Linked DNA regions of Lytechinus pictus. The protein of the gene in region 1 purifies or fractionates together with the protein of each later gene. This does not show direct contact. Links are inferred from orthologs where the notes say so. Each region holds a gene or a part of one and is shown on either strand. Other genes may lie near its edges.

Region 1 (8,760 bases):
GAAAATACTTATAATTCATATTAAAAACGAAATAATTGGATACGAATTATAAACTTTAACAGAAAGCTATTAAGTATGAAAGTTATATTAATTTTATCCGAAATTGAAAAACATTCAATTTATAAAGAGAAGTTTGGGACCCCGTCTAATGAATTATTAATTATTTGGAAGCCTCGGAACAATTAATCTTGGGATTTCACGGACCGAGGGGCTATGTCCTTATACCTCGGTCACATTATTTTGCTCTACGGCGGCCATACGGCGAGTCGAAAACAGTCGTTTTAATATTGTTTTTGTACCAGCTTCATATTGGTGGTTTATCCATGTATAAAAATGAATAAAAATGCTGTTTTCGACTCGCCGTGCGGCAAATGTGACCGAGGTACGAGTCTGTCATAGACATGAAAAACAATGGTTGACAGAACCAAAACACGCATTCAGAAAATTAAATCACAATTTCAAAAGATGTAGAAAGTATGGGGTAAATTTATTGATCAATATGTGAATAAATCTGGCTTTAAGTAACTTCGTTGGACTTTATATCAATCCTTTCCAGTTTTCCATTAAAAGATGTTCTTTAAATGTTGACGTCCTTAGTATAGTAGTCACATTTGCTCTACGGCGGTCGTACGGCGAGTCGAAAACGGCCGTTTTATTCATTTTTATTCAAACCATGTATATGTACACTGGTACAAAATAATGTTAAACTGCTGTTTTCGACTTGCCGTACGGCCGCCGTAGGGGAAATGTGACTGGGGTATTATAGTGACATATAAAAATAATAAAGTTGATGCAGTTGCAAATTGTTAAATCTTTATTAAAAGAAATCATGATATAGGGGTTGGCTTACTCTTTACAGTTTGGCTTTAATTTATTTTTGATGATTTTCATTATACTTTTCATGAACAGTGTTTTACATGTATTCCGTGAAAGTGAATGTCATTCCAGAATTCCATGTTTTTTGTATAATTCATACTGAACTGGAAACTCTTATTGAAGGCAAATTTAATGCATAAGAATTTATTGAGCATATATATATATATATATATATATAATTTATATTTATATGTTAAGAATAATTCAAACAATGCTGTTTACTGTGTGAATCCCATAGTAGTTTAAACAGTTTAAACAAGTGTTCAAAATCTTAAACAACCATGCTTTATTTATTGATGATTAAATATTAGAGTTTAAACTTTGTTGTTTATAAAGTTCTTAAACACTTGTTTAAAATGTTTAAACTACTATGCAATTCACATATTAAACATTGTTTGAATTATTTTCAACAGTGAAACAACATAATACATAAATTAATTACAAATAAATCACAAGAACATTATGACCATATATACATAATAGCATTTTTACAGTGCATCATTGTTGACAGAATGGTTTTCGATCCTTCTCAGCATCATATTCATAATTTGTAAAGATTATTCACTTCTTCAATTTTAAGTAAAAATAAAGTTGAAAGATTATCTCATATAAAAATAAAATTGTTTTTATATCCGAATATCGTCGTCTTGATTTAGTGATCCCCAAATCCTTCACCTTCTTGAGCAGTTGTAAAATGCGATGTGAACTTGTAGCTCTCGACCTTTGTCCTTTGGGTCTTGTGAAATACAGTCTTTCAATCAGTGTCAGTCATCTTCGGATTATGCTGTAGATTATACAATGAAAATAGACCATAGTTTGAACTTTTGAGTTTGATTTATTGCTGTCATAATTGGTAATTCAAAGATAAAAAAAATTGATAAGAAAAAGAACAGGGCAGGAAAATATTTGATTTTTGCAAAAAAAAAATACTGAAGGAAACAAAATCAAAATCAATCTCCATCCATATCAATTTGGTACACATCCGCACTTCAGTGATTATAATTTGCATTATTTTTCAATTTAATTTCCTGTATTTCTGTAGGGTCTATAATTATTGATATTATCATAGAGCTATAGCTCTATGATATTATCATGTCTCAACAATTCCATTGATTGTCCCTGGCTTTACCGAAAAAAAAAAATCAGTGTCCAGTTTTAAAAGTAAAATCAGTATCACGAAAGTCCCAACAAATAAAATGCCCAAACTTATATTCCTAAAATACTACGAGTATGATATTCGCCATTCCATTAATACAAGCAGAGCTTCAATTTCAGAGCCATACACAACAACAGGTGCAGCTGCCATTCATTACATACACGCCCCAAGGCCGCATGGCCGAGCTCACACACATTCCACAGCCATTCACGAACCATGCACGAACAACCGAGCGAAGCCCGATCACAACACAACGTACGCCATGCTTTATATACACCATTGCGGACTAAGCACAAACACCACCGCAAAACAGTTCACAAAATAAACCTCGGTGTAGACGGTTTTCCGTATGTCGCTCTGTACCAATACATGTCGCTCACATACACTTTGCACACATTGACACACAGTAAACAACGAACACAGTCGTGCGATTTTCACTTCTCGACGGTAAATATCTTCAAAAATATGACTTACCAAATGACGAGAAGTCCGCAAAATATCATCAGATTTTCCGAGGTAATGTAGCTACACCGTATGAAGAAAATGAGATTTTCAACTCGAAATCTTGAAGGAAATACGTCGTGTTTAGTATGAGGTTGATCGGTGGTTCGCAGAGAAACTTCTCGCACTACATAGGTTTTGTATTATGGGAAAATATGCAAATGAGAGCCAAAACACCCAATGAGATCACAGCTCAAGATTTGTGAATGAAACATGACGTCACGCACTACGCTGGCGATCGAACGAGCGTATCGCGCATGCGCGGGTTTCCTGTACAATTCTTCTTTGTGGTCTGTTGCCGTGGTTATCCACGCTATTTTATTCATGAGTCCACTCTTCAAACAGTGGACTCATGAATAAAATAGCGTATCTAACCATGGTAACAGGCGTCAATTTGGCACACTGTGACAAAAGCGCGCATCAGCATTGGACATTTTTTAAACACACGCCTGATACGTGCGAAATTAAGCGTAATTTAAATCTGCATGAACCATGGATTCAACCATTGGTTTTCAAAACCACCTTTGTGAATTCGGGCCTATATTTTGATGAAATAAAGACAAAAACCGATGAGCCCCGTCGGGGGATTTTGCATTAACCCCTAATGGCGCTGCACGATCGCGAGCTGTCCGTGTACGAGGAGGAATACATGTAAAAACAAACTCCTTGAAACAAATGGCTGCCAGCTGTAGTCCCTGCTGCCTGGGCCTGGTCAAATTAGCTGAACCGACAGTCGGACTGAAGTTGGCATCCATTTTTCTTTTCCATGTGGAATTGGAAATTAAATTCATTCATAAAAATCATGGCTTCATGCCCCTCATTTATTACCAAACAAATTTTTTTAATTTCAAAATCAACCCTTACTTAACAGTACTTCTTTCCACAATACCCTGGAGTCTAAAGTTAGACCTTTATATTCAATTGCTAAATAGTAAACGCAATGTCAATGTCAATGACTGCAATATCCCGTAGTCCGTACATCACGTGCGGCATGAACATGTATGAAAAGCATGCCGGGTTAGGGTGGTGGTGCACGGAGCATGGAGAAAATTTATTTTTAGGCCCCACGAACATAATTTTACAAGATGTTTTAAAACCTACATATTGAATGGGGGAGGTAACAAAATACTACCTTAGACACATCATAAATCATACATTTCATTTCTAAGAAAAAAGGAAGCTTTCATACCTTCTTTCCTCGATTTTTGCTCAGGTTCTGGGGCCTTTTTGGCTGGTTCTGGTTTCTTCGCAGGCTTTGGCTGTTTGGGTTTGCTGCTTTTCTCCTTCTTCTCCTTCATTCGTTGTTCCTTTTCAGCAAAGATATCCTGTGGATCGGACACCGTATCCATGTCCAAAAGGAAACGGTTACTTACTCCTATAGTGTAAGTAACCTCCATTGTGATAAAATCCTTCGTTCTATGAAGGATTAGAAAGATATTTAACGCTATAAAATGCGTTCTCTCAATGAAACCCCCGTCATTAAAAATGGCGATAAAACTGTACACAAAGTGAATAGGAAGCACGCGCGGAAAAATAGCTATGCAATGTTTACATCGAACGAGAGCGAGGGCTCGGCGGCAGGCATGCTGCGCTGGAAGGATCCGTACTTCGAGCTTCCAGCCTGCGCTAGATTACGTACGTCATGCATATATGGTACGAGTTAGTACAGTAGCATATCATGCATGTTCGCGCGCTCTCGCTCTCTTGGACAAAACATTTAAAAGGGGTTCAAATCCCGGGGTTCAAATACGTTTATCTGATTCAGATCCCTTCTGATAATAATGAGGTATAAACCTGAGGTGAAAGAAAATCCTCATTAAGTTGTAAAAAAATCATACATTAAATATACATGTCCAAAATATGAATAATTCATTTCTAGCGACCATTATATACACCGAAATACCCCCCTTTACTTTTAGATTCGCCCGGTTTTATGAAAATCGGGAATCATAATCATATCAAGCGAGACTGCAAGAAAAATGTCCTGCAAATTTAAACTTTTTATCATTTTCGTCTAAGATAAGATCAATATCTTACACAGTAATCAAGGTAAATAATCCAGGCAAAAACAAATATTGCTTGTAGTACCGACAAGACAGCTGATAACACCAATTACCATATATGGAAGTTCAGGTTTTGTCTAAATCTTACTTTATCAGGGATCGACTTAAAAAGCTGACAAAAATATGCTTTTTTACAACATGAGATGAACGAAAAAAACTATATAAGTTTTTCATTATATGAAAAATGAGTGAATAATTCAATTCTTTCAATGTATAAAAAGAGAAAAGGGGGAGCAAACGAGTTATCTCTTTGCAAACAAAATTAAGTTGTTAGTTTGAGGCTATCCTTTAAAGAGCCCGCTTGAAAAAAACTCCCATAACACCTTGCACCGGAGCATTTTGTAGCGCCAAATTCGAGATCGGTTTGTTGTAAACGCGCGAGATCAAGAAGAGAACGGGACGACAGACAGCTGAAAATGGCTAACGTTTTGAAGAATTCGCCGTATAAGATCATGCCTAACACTGAAATTCGATCACCAGTTCGACCACCAAAATTATCGTTGACGCCTTTAAGTCCTGTGAGTCCTGGAATCTGCTACTTTTATCCCTGGAAATGGTCGGAGAGTGCAGGGAACGTCGAGCTCAGCCCATCTGCCAGCAGCAGTTCTTGCGGTGGCTCCCCGCCCGTCGAACGAGGGTCAAGTAGGGGGAGACCGAGGGCAGAGACGGTGGCAGAGTTGCAGAAGGCAGGGAGCAGTGAAATCCGTCGAGATGTCATTCAGTGTATTATTTGCGATCGGATCTTTCCCCGAGAAAAGTCATTAACAGCACACCTTCGAACGCATACAGGTAATTAATTGAAAGAGAGTGTCAAAGAATCATCATAAATGATAGGGCTCGCTTTGGTTTGGCTAAATTATAATAAAAATTTGGACATCAGATTCAGATGTCAATTTTGTCATCAGTTCTCATTTTCTCAGTCAGACATTTATTACTTGTATTTACAGTTAGAGAATAACGTAGTGTAGGCTATGCTAAACATTTTGATTTGTGTGAAAGATCATGTATTTTTTTGGGTGAAAACTGCTGAGCTGACCTAGTTACATAGTCATAATTATAAGTTAACCTTTTTTTTCTTATGAAATTATATGATAATGGAGGAAGAAAACAAGAAAGAAAGAGACAAGATTTATCTCTTTGAAAAGAAGTCTATTCGTGAGCTATATCATGACATGACTAAGTTCAAGTTTAGGCCGTCAGTATAAAAAAAATAAGACCTTGTCCTTGACGAAAGACGAAAGTCTATTTTGCTAACTGGGGCAGGGGCTAGCCTTGAGGACTTCGTGATGATATTTTTAAATATTTTGACATATACTTCTTCATCACGAAGCCTTGAAACCCCTTCCATAGGCATATAAGAGGACATGTAAACAAAGATGGATTTCCCTAGAAAATCCATCTTTGAAAATTGAAGATAGAAATAACGTAAATTTGTATCATTTTATTTATCTATACACCTTCATACGCCTAATCATATGCGTATGAAGGTGCAAAAATATGTTAATAAAAAGGTTAAAAACGAGAGGTTACATACCAGACCGATCTCGTGTAGATCCCTCGATCCATTTGTAAACAACGCAAATATAATAGGCTTAAGGCTTGACCCTTGAACCGCTTCGTCATTATGTACCTTCGATAAGCGATGTTACAAAATGTTGTTTTGAAGAACAATTTATAGATAAAAATTATTATTTAAAGGTCAAGTCCACCCCAGAAAAATGTTGATTTTAATCAATGGAGAAAAATCAAACAAGAATAACGTTGAAAATTTCATCAAAATCGGATGTAAAGTAAGAAAGTTATGACATTTTAAAGTTACATGTATGCTTATTTTTCACAAAACAGTTATATGCACAACTCGGCAACACACAAATGAGAGAGTCGATGATGTCCCTCACTCACTATTTCTTTTGTTTGAATTATACAATATTTCCATTTTTACAGATTTGACAATAATGACCAGCTTTACTGAACCATAAAATGTTAGAACAATTGTAATTCCCCATGTATACATGGAGGAAGAAAACTTGTTTCACCTTCCAATGAGGAGAAAATTAAAATATTTTATATATCATATAATAGAATACAAAAGAAATAGTGAGTGACGTCATCAGTCCCCTCATTTGCATACCAACCAGGATGTGCCTATAACTGTTTTGTGAAATTTACCAAAACTTTAAAATGTCATAACTTTCCTATTTTACATCTGATTTTGATGAAATTTTCAGTGTTATGCTTCTTGGATTGTTCTCTACTTGTTCAAATCAACTTTTTGTTGGGGTGGACTTGTCCTTTAACAAATTTTAACTTACACATTCTTTGTTTTTATCTTCTGGAAAACAGGAGAACGTCCATATAAGTGTGACTATCCAAACTGCAACCGAGCTTTTGTTCAGAGCGGTCAGTTGAAGACCCATCAGAGATTACATACAGGAGAGAAACCTTTCGCTTGCTCAGTTCCAGGTTAGTCTTGCTTGACCCAGTGGGTGTTCCTTAAAGCTGTTCATAAGTCAAGAGCAACTTTAAGAACGACTGGTGATCCTTTCTTGTGGTAAATAGTATACACCAAAATGTTCACTGGCGATGGTTTAGTGCGTAAGATAGGTTCACCAGTCGTTCTTAAAGTTGCTCTTATTTTACAAACGGCTTTATTAAACACCCCCCAGTATTGCCACAGAGAAAAGTTAGAATTAGCCAAGAGCTGCCCGGAAATATGTAGTTAAAATGAAGAAAAAATCCTCGATCCATGTTTGATCCATTCAGGTTTCTTGAATTCCTAGAAAAGCAAAAAAAAAAGGAGGTACTTACCAGCAGGATTGATTCAAATTCCAAATTATACTGAATCTAACTTTTTCAGATTGGATTTGGTTATATTCCAGTTTGTAACATCTTCAAAATGGGGATTTGTATGACTTAAGCAAGGAAAGAAGATTTGTAAATTAATAATGATGGAAAAATAGAACATTATTCCATCAAATAATGTATTTTTTTGTGCTTCTACTTATTTCTCCACAAGTTTTGCAATAATACTTAATTGCAAAATATCTCCACTGGTATACAAGTTTCTAACATTTGAATATAAGAGGTTTTGATGTACATACACATGTGTACTGTAATTCAAATATATTTTTTAAAAGGGATGAATTTAAATTGCTGAAGTAGCAAAATTTGTTTATGAAAAACTAAAAGGTGCAGTATGCCTAAAACTGAAAATTTCAGACAAAATGTAATTCATTTTAAAAAGAAAATAATTGAGGTTTAGCGTACCCAATATTTAGAATCCTGGACATAATTGCTAAGTGCCTTTAAATGTTTTTTGTTGTTGCCAGGTTGTCAATCCAGATTCACACATGCAAACAGACATTGTCCGGAGCATCCATATGCCGGCCTTCGTCGAGAGACAACCCAAGTACAGGTGGAAGAAGTCGTCAGGACCGATGAGAACAGTGAAGAAGTTGCCGAATGGTTACAGAGGTAAGTTAGAGAAGAGAACTTTAACGTCTCTAAAAAGCTGTTGCTCAGGGTCACTCCGTAACACTTTCATTGGCAACAGTAGCCTTGTGGTTTATCTCTTTATCTGAAATGATTAGCAAAAAAAAAAAAAAAAAAACCCTTGGTCAATTTGTATTTGTTGACTCCTTCCACCACTTAGCAATTCTGTCTGACACTTCAAGTAATATGAAGTCAGTCTATTAAACAGGGGCATACACTTCTCCCAGGCCAAATTAAAAAACTAGATTTTGCTGTGCAATGTCATTCTAAGGCCATGGTTGCAGATGTCCTTTTGATTAACCTCAAAGGTCAAGATCCCCTAATTGGCCAGAGATTTTTGTTGCCATTCAAATCTCTTTAATTTGTGCTATGACATTGGAGCATTCCCTTCAGAAAGTCTGGTCTTGCCCTGAGGACACTTTAGATTTAAGGCCTGTAATGGGAGAAATACGTAGTTGTACTTCATGAAAGTAGATCCTGTGATATTATTTCTGCAAGCAGAGTGGTTTTCCACCAATAGAAAATAACAGGTGCCCACACCTAACATCAGCACTATTGGTCATTCATTTGTTTCAGAGACCCCCAAAATATTATTGATACCTTTAGAATTTAAACAGTCTTTAGCTATCAGTATTGTCATTTCATATCCTATTGCTCCACATTCTGGTGAAT
Region 2 (3,600 bases), about 3.9 Mb from region 1:
AACAAAAAAGGGGGAAAAAAAAGGAAAGTAAGAGAAAGAAGGAATGAAAGAAAAATGAAGAGAAAGGATCAGGAAAGAAAGCTATGAAAGATTGGAAATATAATAGATGGAACAAAAAAAGCCAGGTAAATTAGTAGGAATGATAGAAAGATGAAGAAAGGATAGAAAAAAAAGATGAAAGAACAAAAGAAAGAAAGAAAGAAAGAAAGGGAAAAGGTTCAAACTACAAGCAAAAAAAAAAAATCCAATCAAATAAAAATCTTAATGATATTTGGTTTTTTTTAAATATATTTTAAAGATTTCGAAAAACTATAATATTTTAGAAATGAATAAGTCTCAAAGTGAAACATTGTCAAACTTAAAAATTAGATGAACTATTGCACCATCACACACAGGCATCTCTCATCCCATTTTGCATCGATCACAACTGGACTAAAAAATAGATCTAGTTATGAAAACTCATTAACTTGCTCCTCCGCGCGGTTTGCGTGCTGTCGCCACGCAAAAGACAGTGAAATCAAGATGGCGACGTAAACACGGTGGCAAGTTTTTCCCGTCTTTTCATAATATTTTTTTGAATTAATTCTTGTTTAAAAATGAAATCGATATCGTAGAAATGTCGGAAATGAAGTTGTATCCCATGTACATGATTAAGGGCTAGATCTTTTGGAAGGAAAGTAGAAATCTCGGGGGCGAAAGTTTCAGGGTTTTTTTGCGGTACACGCAGATGAATGGGAAGAAATTCCTGGCTCCGTTGAGAGTAAGCATACGTTAGTAAATGATTTTTACTCTCTAGGAGCCTCCTGGCTAGTCATGACCACGTAACACATCGGTCACATTTGCTCTACAGCGGCCGTACGGCGAGTCGAATACGGCCGTTTTATTAATTTTATTTCAAACCACCTATATGTAGCTGGTACAAAAAAAATTTAAAACGGCTGTTTTCGACTCGCCGTACGGCCGCCGTAGAGCAAATGTGACCGAGGTACTAGATGACGTAGATCTACATTCAGTTACCAGATAGGCCTAACGTTATAGTGAGACCATCACCACCTCTTTTGAAACCGACCACCTTGCGCGCATTAAAATCATTGCACATTACAAACGATGCACGCGGGAGAGTAGGCGCAGTGTCCATAGGAACAGTAAAAATCGATTTTACGAGAGAAAACGAAAGGGGGTAGAAATTTAGTAGAATTTATCAAAATTGTTTTGACTAGACCCGAACCCCGCTGAAAAACAGTTGTTCATACCAAGAAATCCGATAGGAAACGGCTTTAGAACAAATCCGTCGTCAATCTTCGAATCATGTGCCAGAGCTCGCAGTGGAAGTACCAGTACGGTAGTGAGAGGATCATTTTTGACATTACTGATTTGGAAGAGTCCAAATATTTCGCCGCGCCGCCGCGACAAGAATCGGCCGTAAACTTGAACGGTTAGTGTATCCCGGGTGGTCGGTTTTAAAAGAAGGGTGCAAATGAGCAAATGTAAAATCGTCGTATTATTACTTAGTTTTTTGCCGATATACCATATATGATGGGGGGACCTAAAGCTACGCACTTTGTTTTCAAACAACAAAAAATATCCCAATTTTAATATTTCAACAAATTATCTTTCACTAATTTGTGGCAAACATTATAAAGATCATTAACCAAGAAGAAAATATCGCTAAACTCACTAACACGAAAATCCCGCCGTGTTTTCCGAACACCTCTTGATTTCGCCGCCCGATGTAGAAGGGGTCCTAAAGCTACGCACTCGATTTATCATGCAAAAAAAAAGTATTTCCTGTGCCTCAATTTCTAAAATATATTCACATTATTATAGGATAAAATGAAATTAAAGCGAATATAACTCCAAAAATCCAAATAGTTGTTTGTTTTCTCTGCATTTAGAGATTTACTGCAACCTCTGTAGAAAAAAATTGATTAGGAATCGTTCGTCACTCTGCAGTCACAGTTCCACACACAGAGTGCGCATTTGCCATAAAAAACTGCATGCGCTATGAGTGGTGCGTAGCTTTAGGACCCGCGCAGCTTTAGGACCCCCGACCATACGCGAATTGAATCGGATCGTCAATCGAAAGACGAAACATGGGAATCTGATCTCCTAAATTTTCTGCACAATTGAGACGAAAACTAGGTAAAAACTGAGAAATATTTTCGCTGATACGATGCTTAGAAAATTAGGTGGTCGATAATTAAGGGGTAGTTCCAACCAGTGAACCACACACACACGCACTTTGGTTGGCTGGCGCTGCACTGGCCTGTACTGTAGAGTGTAGTCTGTAGTGTACGTGGGTAGCTGTAAAAAGCTCGCCGCGCCGGTCACTCACATCATCTCATACACGCACAATGACTTCGTGAAATTGAAAATGTGTGTGATGACCGAATATGAACAAAGCCAGATCCGAGTAATAAATTCTCTTCATTCATGAGAGCAGCAAAATACATCACACGTGATTTCGATACATAAAGTTAAACAAAATAAAGATATGAAATTCTTACTGAGAATTTTCAGCCATATTTCTGATGATTTAAACAAGAAAACAGCAAGTGCATTCGTCTTCACAGTGAAATCGCAAACTTGCTGCATATGAAATAATTAGTTTATCTTCAAGACTCACGGACCAAACTAATACACGTGTATATATACCGAGAGCAATCAAGCGGAACATTTATAGTGATTTAGAGATAAATGCACTACAAATAATCAGTCATATAAAATTAGATGATTACACGATCATGTAAAAATTAATATAGATAAATTTTATATAATAAATTCAAAATTACATACAAAACAATATGATTCGATACGTTTTTATTTTCAAATACAATAGTTATTACAGAGTGGGGAAAGAAAACAAAAAACCAAGCCGAACCAGCTTTGTCATATTAAACGATTGCACAATACCATTCTTGCGCTGTAAAATAAATATTGACAAATATTTCTGTATATCGTATTTCTAGAGGAAAATATGGATAGATCGATAAGAATGGTGACGGTTTTATAGAGATAGGGTGCTCTTATTTTGGTTTCTACTTTAAAAAAAAGTCTACTCTTGCTAGCAGACTATGCTTGAATTTCTAGAAATAAAGATTGCGTCATTCCTATGAGACCACGGAAATAATTTTTCCGTGTATGAGACATAGAGATGTATACTAGTATACATCTCTATGGTATGAGACTAACTGGTATGAAAAGAAGACAAAAAGTAAAGGTACGGGTGGGAGGGGGAGAAAAGGGGAAAGGAAAAAAATAAAGGAGAAATGAAAAAGCTTTTAAAAACAGTATTTTTTTTAATCTTATAAATTTGTTGTTGTTTTTTTTAAAGATCTGGCAATTATGGTTGCCATTAGGTAAGCCAAAAGTCGGAGGTACGTGGCGGAGGCCAGCAGGGATCCTATGCCTGAAAAAAAAAGCATGAAAAGAGAAAACGGAAGGAAAGCGGGAAAAGGAAGGAAAGAAGAACATGTATTGTAAGAAAGAAACAATCATCCCGAAATACTATGCATTAGCATGATTGATAAGAAAGGGAAATAAATTAAAAGATAAAGAAAATCGGGAAATGAACTTTAGCTAATTTGGAAAATGAAGAAA
Region 3 (8,760 bases), on another chromosome or scaffold:
AACGATGTCTCTGCCCACACCAAAATCAATAGGCGGCTTTGCTTTACAATAATGGACCGTCATGCCACATTTGAAGATGATCGGAAAAGAAATGCAGCTGGTAGAGCGCTCACATGGACATCTCTGCTATTTCCAAAAAAACCTGTTACCATGGCAACGATGTCTCTGCCCACACCAAAATCAATAGGCGGCTTTGCTTTATAATAATGGACCTTCATGCCACATTTGAAGATGATCGGAGAAGAAATGCAGCTGGTAGAGCGCTCACATGGACATCTCTGCTATTTCCACAAAAACCTGTTACCATGGCAACGATGTCTCCGCCCACACCAAAATCGATAGGCGGCTTTGCTTTACCATAATGGACCTTCATGCCACATTTGAAGATGATAGGAGAAGAAATGCAGCTGGTAGAGTGCTCACATGGACATCTCTGCTATTTCCACAAAAACCTGTTACCATGGCAATGATGTCTCCGCCCACACCAAAATCAATAGGCGGCTTCGCTATACCATACTCGACCTTGATGCCAAATAATCGGAGAAGAAATTAAGCTGATAGAGCGCTCACAAGATATCTCTGCGGCGGCGGACGTGGCTTGAGAGGCCAAATCCATCCTTCGAACTCTGTTCGGGGATACAATTATACATGTATGGGGCAGAAAAAAGTTAAAGGGCAACACCTTTTACACTCGACATCCATGCAATATTTTTTTCTAAACTGTTCGCTGACAAGATCTGAACAACTTGGTTTAAACGGGGTAAAGAAACATCTATTCATACATCATAATCAAGTAATGCCCCATCTCTACCCCAACAGGGCAACATCAGAGGACAAATCAGTCACAGAGCACTAGCAATGATTAGGATCATACTTTAATCCAGAGGTGCTGTTCACTTCACGAGTACCCATGCTCCCCTCCCCAATCCCTACGAAAACTGGAAAAAACATACCCTGATAGCAGAGTTAAAACTCACCACATATACGGTGCAGTCACCAGGATCATACTTGGGCGACTCCAGTGGGAGCCCAAGTAGCCCTCCCCAAGCCTGGTTTATTCCCAATTCGTCTAATGCCAATTCGTCCAATTGCCAAATCGTCTACTACCATTTGGTCTATCATCAGATCGTCTACTCACCACATGGTCTACTTTCATTTAGTCTAATGCCATTCCGTCTAATAACCAGTTGGTCCAATAACCATTTAATCCATATACCACTGGTCTAATTAAACTTAAGTGATAATTGTGCAAATTAATGAAAAGAAAATGGGTATTAATTTTAGACCAACTGGTTGTTAGACCAAATGGCAATAGACGAACTGGTGATTAAACGAAGTGATGATTGGACCAAATGGTTATTGGACCGAATGGTTGTTAGACGAAATGTTGATGGACGGAATGGCATTAGACTAAATGAAGGTAGACCATGTGGTGATGGACGAGTTGGCAGTGGACGAATTGGCAATTTACCCCCAGCCCTCTATAACAGAGTGAAAATTCATCCCATATGCAGTGCATTCATCAGGACTGTACTTTGGTGGCCCCAGATGTGCTGTCTGCTTCACAAAAAGTGTTTAGTCCCCCCCCCCCCTCCCCTTACCACTACAAAACATGGAAAATACCCTAACAGAGTGAACACTTACTACATATACAGTGCAGTCATCGGGATCGTACTTGGGCGGCTCCAGAGGTGCTGTCCGCTTTACAAAGAGCTGATCATCACTGAGCTTGAGGATTTTTGAAAGCTGAATGGCAGAGACAACCTCCTTCCTATCTTCAGTCATGGATAACATCTTGTTGAAATTGGCTATGGTCTCCACGCTAACATCTAAAGATTGAAGAGAAAAGTGAAAAACAACTTTGAAATGATAATCATCTATTCTGTCACCTACAGTTGGGCTTAAAAGGTAATAAACCCACCACAAAATGCACTCCTCCATGCTGAGTGTTGAATGTAGATAACACTATGATGTTCAACGAGCCCAGATAAACAATCTTTAATGAATGCAATATTTTAACACCTGGTTTCACAATTAAATGGCAGAACTTGAACACTTTAAATATGTTCTGGGGCCCGTAACACAAAGCTTAGCAATGATCGTAGAACATTTTTCTACGATTGATTGCATTGACTACAATGTACAATCAATCGTGAAAATCAAGTGTACGATTAATCGCTAACCTTTGTGTTACGGGACCCAGGTGGGGTTCACTAACTTTTGAGCACCACTGTGTAACCGGGGAAGTAGTCAATGCTGGTGCTTCCGAGTCATGAGGTCGCTGTGCACAGAGAACCTTTTCCCATAGACTTTGAACATGTGACTCGGGGCGAGTGCCGGTCTTGACTACATCCCAGCCTATAACCCAATACATTGCAGTGGATTTAATGACAAATTCCTGTTTGCCCTAAAACATTTATGATGTGACGGAGAGGAAAGGAAATTGTGCTTTACAGGATAAATTTTACAATTCTACATTAAATCCAAATAAAAAACCTGCATTTTTATTCTTTGAGAATAAAAAGATACAATCTTTATTTGAAAAAATGCTCAAGCTTTTTTTTTTAAAGAAAAATAAAAACACAGCGAGAGAGGGCATCAGATATCTGAGAAAGGAATGCTTGAAATTCCAGAGAGAATCAATGGTTGAAAAAAAATCAATGGCTAAGTACACTTCTGTAAGATTGACATGTCAAATGGACGACAATGGTCAGTTGTAACCCTAACCAAACGTTTGAGCCAGCTTTAAAACTGACCACAGACTTACATCCATCTTTATTTTTAGACATTTCTTGCTTCAGGAATCGATCTTTCCTCAAATTGGCATCGCTGAAGTAAAACTCGATCTGCTGACTGACATCAAGTATGATTTTCTTATGGCGCTTTCTCCTCCGCTTCTCCATCGAGGCATCTCCAAGCGACGAGTTGTCTTTTGCTTCTGCTTTATCTGCTTTCATCCTGCAGATATGGTACAGATGAAGAAAAAAAATTAGAACTTAAAGCCCAAACTAACAGAGAGGTAACATGTTCAACTGCCATCAAATATCTAGGAATAGTGTTAGGGCGACATTTTATTGGAGCTGTTTTTGGTTCTTATTTTCACAAATATTTAAAACAATCATCTTTCTATCAGAGGGCATGGGTTTGAATCCCAGCCATGGCGTGTTTTCCTTCAGCAAGAAATTTACCTACATTGTGCTGCACTCAACCCAGGTGAGGTGAGGCACCAGGCAGGTTTATGCCCTTGAAAGCAGAGTGCTGCAAGGTACATGTAGCTCGGGCTAAAGCTGGGGTAATAATTTATAATAATAATAGTGCACCTCGAAATGGATTATTTCTAGATAGATGGCGCTATACAAATGCCTATTATTATTGGTAGTAAAACACTAAAACTAGTAATAATGTATCGCCCGGGTAATTTGTCAATTATTCATCAGGAATGATGATGATCCAGAGTGAGACTCAAAGAGTCAGACAGCCAGGCCCATATTCCAAACCTGGGTTTAACTAAAGTCTGAGCTAAATTTTTGTTGTATTCAGACGTGAAAGCAGGACATTAAATGAACACGCTGCATATCTTTAAAAAGAAACTAATTAAGTACCGAGTGTGAACTGAATTATTTCTTTCTTTAGACTTGAAAAAAAAAAACGAATTGTGCCTAGTAAGCATAGCGTGCAGGATATGATTAATGTGAGCGAGAGCATTTTTATAAGCAGAATTTATTTTGGCATGTGACCCAACAGGATTGCTAAATATGCCAAACCCCTCCTCTCACTTTCTTTACCACTCTTCCTCCTTTCAATTTTTCTTCCTAATTCTTTTATCGATTCCTTCCTTTTCTTGTCTCTCCCACTTTTTGGTTTTCTTTTTTCTTCTCCTTTTCTTTTTTTTTTCTCCTGTCTTTTGTGCCACCAATTATGTGTAGGCCTCTTGGGTCAGAGCTCTTATCTCTTTCTATTTCCCTTCATTTATTAGGCATAAATATATATATATTTTTTTTTTTTTGGGGGGGGAATGGGGAAGTATATAAAGGAAGCAAAGGTTGTTAGGCTCATATTCCACGTCCTGGACGATTTTTAATGATTGTGCAAACCCTTTGCATCTATCTAGACCCGCACGCACACATTTACCAACACACATGACACACTCCAACGATTCACGTACCACCAGTGATTCACCTAACCCACTGATTCACTTTCCGCGAAAAAATGTGACTATTCAGGGCGTGTGTATGTGTGTTATGGGATTGGTAGTGTGTTATGTGTTTGGTAGTTGCATACATACAAAATATAAAACATTCCAGGAGGTGGACTATTAGGCTCATAGATTCGTATTTTTTCAATGTTTTTTTTTTTAGGGGGAGGGGAAGGACCGAGGCTCCCTCCCCTGGCTCCACTTCAGCTTCAATCCCTGGCTAATTATGGCCAAACAAAAGGACCAGTCCAGTAGCGTACGTCAGCCCCCCCCCCCCCCCCCATTTGGTATTTTTAAACCCAAAACTCCCCTGAAAGAAATCAATTTTTTGCTTGTCAATTTTTTTGGGGGTAAAAATTTCCTACCCAAAAAAAATTGACAAGCCAAACTTCCCAAAGACAAAGTCTTGAAAAAAAATGTTATTTTACTGTGGCTATATTTAAAGGAAACGACCTAAAATTTTGGGGTCGTCAACATTTCATTCGGCTTGAACCCCCCCTTTCAAAAATCCTGCATACGCTACTGGGCGAGTCATTATTTCCGCTATCATGAAATTTGTCACCAGTCCCCGACGTTCATTTTCAGATTCACTGCTTCAGCCTTCGGCTTCACTTCAGATCACTGACTTCATTATCATTAGTGCATGCTACTGACAGCTTTCCATAATTCCATTCCCATAGACTTTGTACAGAAACGAACGCTGAACGATTAGCCAGCGCCAGCTCAGCAGGCCAAGCAAGGCGACAATAAGTTCAAAACAAATGTAAATAGTGTCCGACTTTCCATCACCCACACGACAAGATTACCGTATGGAAGTTTCTTACCTAAATGATTGTACTTACTTTTAGAATACAGCAACAAAATACACGTAGTATATGTCTAGGAGCTAGTATTTAGATGAAATTTGAGACAAACGCCGTGTTCACGCAAGATTTTCTTTTACAGCTTTTAAGTATGGAACGCTATTTATTACGTTCGTAAACGTAACACCACTTCGTTACTTTGTTGGGAGTTTGAAATTTATCCCGAATTTATCATACACGAGGCCGAGGGGGTGTTGTTTTCTTGAGCTTGCAATGATGGGGCCCCCATGGGGGGCAAGCACGGCGAAATCATTTCTTTATGGGGGGGGGCAAACCTCCCAGGAGGCCCATCGATTGGGTCCTTTGGGGGAAGTGACCAAGTGACAGGTTACTATAAATAGGAAAGACCGGGGACATGCAGAATAATCAACTTTACTAAATACTTGCTTCAACTTGAATAAAATGAAATATGCATATCTAATTGGCTTGGCATATATCTTATATGGATAAATTTGGGTTAACTAATCTAGAAGCTAGCTGTTATCCGGGACTGTTATATCATTTCTCAATTCACAATTGCCCCACACGGCCGGGGTATAGGCCTTATAGTAACATCTAAATCATTTCTGTCAAATGATTTTGTTACCAAATCGTTACTGTCGGTTTATTTTGTAACAAAATCATTGCAGTCGTTTGATTTTGTATCAAAATCCGGGGGGGGGGGCACTTCCACTTAACAATTAAGTATTGGAAACAAAACGATACTCTTGGCAAGTATTCCCTGAATTGGATCCCTAAACAAGTACCGCAGCGATAGTTCTGTTTTATACCTAATTTACCTGACATCGTTGGGTTTAATTAGTTCAGCACCACCTGCCACATACCCACTAGCGTACCTATGGGGGGGGGCAGGGGGGGCACTCTGCCCCCCCCCCCCCCTGACGAGTCAAAACCCATGCAAAAACGTATCTTTGCCCTGACGGGCTTGTATAACCTTTTTTGCCCCCCCCCCTGACGAGCTTTAAGACCTTCAATGCCCCCCTGACGAGCTTGAAGACCTTTTTTTTTTTTTTTTTTTTTTTTTTTTTGCTTGTCAATATTTTTCTGGTACGAAATCCTTTATTTGTGATCGAAGACCCTTTTTTTTTTTTTTTCAAATTTTTTGGCGGACGGTTTTGCCCCCCCCCTGTGGAAAATCCTAGGTACGCCACTGCACGTACCTCCCCCACATCTCGCGCAAATCATACTCTAAACAAGTAGAGTTGACCCTTGGGGCATTATAAAACATTTTAGTCTTCATTTTTGTACCCTCGCAAATTTGACCCTAACACGTGCGTAGCTTTCCTATAGCGAAAATAGATAACCTAATTTTAGTGTTTTTGACACCCTTAATACGTTACGTCCGTAACGTGCCCTATCTTGAAAAAGACATCCTTTTTACGTGTTTTTTTGGTCGCGCATGGTATCCACTCGTGAATAAGTGCCCCCCCGGGCCCCCCGGGACCAAAACGATTTGGAGAGTGTTTTTGTTACAAAATCATGCATTTATTTTAACAGAATAGGCCTACTAATTTACACTTGTATATCCCACATGATGTGCACCTCTTAATATTACTCGCCATGAATTGCCTCGTCACACACACAAAAAAAGTAAAAATTTGCCGGGAAAATTAGCTTCTGAAAAAAAAAGAACTACTACTGCCCAGTAAGATTTGGTGTGCCCCCACTGAAAAAAATTGGCAGAGCAAGAAAAAGGGAGAAAGAAGAAAAGAAAAAGAAGGGGGAAGAAAGAAGAAGAGGGAAGAAAGAAGAAGAGGAAAATAAGAGGAGGAAGACGAGTGAATAAAATAATGGGAAGACAAAAGAAAAAAAAAATTCATGTTGCTTCGCGCTCGGATTGCCTTTTCGATGAGAATCATGTCTTGCTAAAAAGGGTGATATGGAGTCCCAGGACCAAAATCCAATTGAAACCAGTTGGATTTCCAACTGGTTTCAATTGGTTTCAATTGGTTTTAACTGGTTTCAATTGGTTTTAACTAGAATTTAACAATTTCCAGTTGAAACCAATTGAAACCAGTTGGGCAACTGGAAATCCTAACTGGAACCAGTTGGGTAACTGGAAATGATTTTTAACTGGAACCAGTTGAGTAACTGGAAATCCCAACTGGAACCAGTTGGGCAACTGGAAATCCTAACTGGAACCAGTTGGGTAACTGGAAATCCTAACTGGAACCAGTTGGGTAACTGGAAATGACTTCCAACTGGAAATGATTTCTAACTGGAACCAGTTGGGTAACTGGAAATCCTAACTTGAACCATGCAGTTGTTTAACTGGAAATCCTAACTGGTACCAATTGGGTAACTGGAGATGACTTCTAACAGGAAAGATGGGTAACTGGAAATGAATTCTAATTGGAACCAGTTGGGTAACTGGAAATGATTTCCAATTGGAAACCAATTGGAAATCATTTCCAGTTACCCAACTGGATCCAATTGAAACCAGTTAATTTGCATATTATCTGCCAGTGTGCACAGATTAATGTTTTATGAGATTCATCATCATTAACAATGTATCTATTTAATTCTTTTCAATTTCAAGTACCACATTTTTTAAAGATAAGTATTTAAAATACTTAGCAGTGAAAACCATGTTCATAAATGTCATAGATTATAATTAAAACAGATTAAAGGATAATTAGTACACCACTAACTGTTACCAAATTACATCAAATAAAAATACATATATTTGAAGATCTTCCATATAAATATATACATATATGAAAGTCTGTATTTTATCAATGCCCTTTACATTGGTATTAATAGACATATAACACTGCTTCTGTGTTGGCATGAGCAATAGTTAGTGCAAATGCTAATTCATTTGTAACTAATTAAGTTCATTCCAACTGGAAGTTCCTATTGGATCCAGTTGGAAACCAATTGGTTTCAACTGGTTCCAGTTGCCTCCAACTGGTTTCAACTGGAACCAATTGAAACCAGTTGCCTTCAATTGGTTTTAATAGGGAAATTGGAACAACTGGAACCAATTGACACCAATTGCCAACTGGTTCCAGTTGCCCAATTGGTTTTAACTGGAACCAATTGGCAACTGGTTTTCAATTGGAACCAATTGGTTTTAACTGGAACCAATTGGCAACTGGTTTTCAATTGGAACCAGTTGTTCCAATTCCCCTATTGAAACCAGTTGGCCAACTGGTTTCAATTGGTTTTGCCCTAATTGGTTTTAACTGGATTTTGGTCCTGGGAGTCGTCATGTATGTTCCTGCATATATGTTCTTTATTTAAAATGTGTTTGAAATTATCCAGTATCAGATCAGAACTTTTATTTTCTGCTCGCGCTTCACGCTCGCATTATAATACCCAATTAACCATATCCTATTCATGATTTACTAAATATGAATAGATTGTCCCGTTTTAAGGTCTAAAAACTCAAATTTCTTCCGCTCGCGCTTCGCGCTCGCATCAATTGTTTAGTTACATACCTAATATCCCATTTCACATTACGAAAAGTGCTTAGAATGACCATTTTTTTTTAGGTTGGAATGTCAAAAATGTTTAGCTTGCACTTCGCCCATAATAATTGTAATATGTACCTTCTTCGTGTGTAACTATAATTAAACAGTCCTTAACAGGTCCCTTTTCGATCATGCCAGAACATTTATTGAAAATTTCTGCTTGCGCTTGGCGTTCGCAGTAATTATCTAGTGTTCAGGATCACAAACATTGCCCAGAATGTAAGAT

Evidence for each region.
Region 2: the proteins of SERPINE1 mRNA-binding protein 1-like (region 1) and transitional endoplasmic reticulum ATPase-like purify together in Homo sapiens (affinity purification with mass spectrometry; 3 studies listed by BioGRID). This does not show direct contact. The link is inferred for Lytechinus pictus from reciprocal best matches to the Homo sapiens genes SERBP1 and VCP.
Region 3: the proteins of SERPINE1 mRNA-binding protein 1-like (region 1) and la-related protein 7-like purify together in Homo sapiens (affinity purification with mass spectrometry; 3 studies listed by BioGRID). This does not show direct contact. The link is inferred for Lytechinus pictus from reciprocal best matches to the Homo sapiens genes SERBP1 and LARP7.

What each region holds. Positions count from the first base shown.
Region 1 is NC_087255.1:23,541,725-23,550,484, forward strand, and holds the start of SERPINE1 mRNA-binding protein 1-like, read right to left. Parts: upstream 5,013-8,760; 5' UTR 3,931-5,012; coding exon 3,723-3,930; intron 1-3,722. Other genes in the region: zinc finger protein 367-like, read left to right, coding at 5,013-5,385, 6,940-7,059, 7,926-8,070. UniProt on the Homo sapiens protein: Ribosome-binding protein that promotes ribosome hibernation, a process during which ribosomes are stabilized in an inactive state and preserved from proteasomal degradation.
Region 2 is NC_087255.1:27,478,670-27,482,269, forward strand, and holds the start of transitional endoplasmic reticulum ATPase-like, read right to left. Parts: upstream 2,676-3,600; 5' UTR 2,525-2,675; coding exon 2,508-2,524; intron 1-2,507. UniProt on the Homo sapiens protein: Necessary for the fragmentation of Golgi stacks during mitosis and for their reassembly after mitosis. Involved in the formation of the transitional endoplasmic reticulum (tER).
Region 3 is NC_087262.1:10,072,179-10,080,938, reverse strand, and holds the start of la-related protein 7-like, read right to left. Parts: upstream 5,169-8,760; 5' UTR 5,038-5,168; intron 2,959-5,037; 5' UTR 2,958-2,958; coding exon 2,768-2,957; intron 1,830-2,767; coding exon 1,645-1,829; intron 1-1,644. UniProt on the Homo sapiens protein: RNA-binding protein that specifically binds distinct small nuclear RNA (snRNAs) and regulates their processing and function.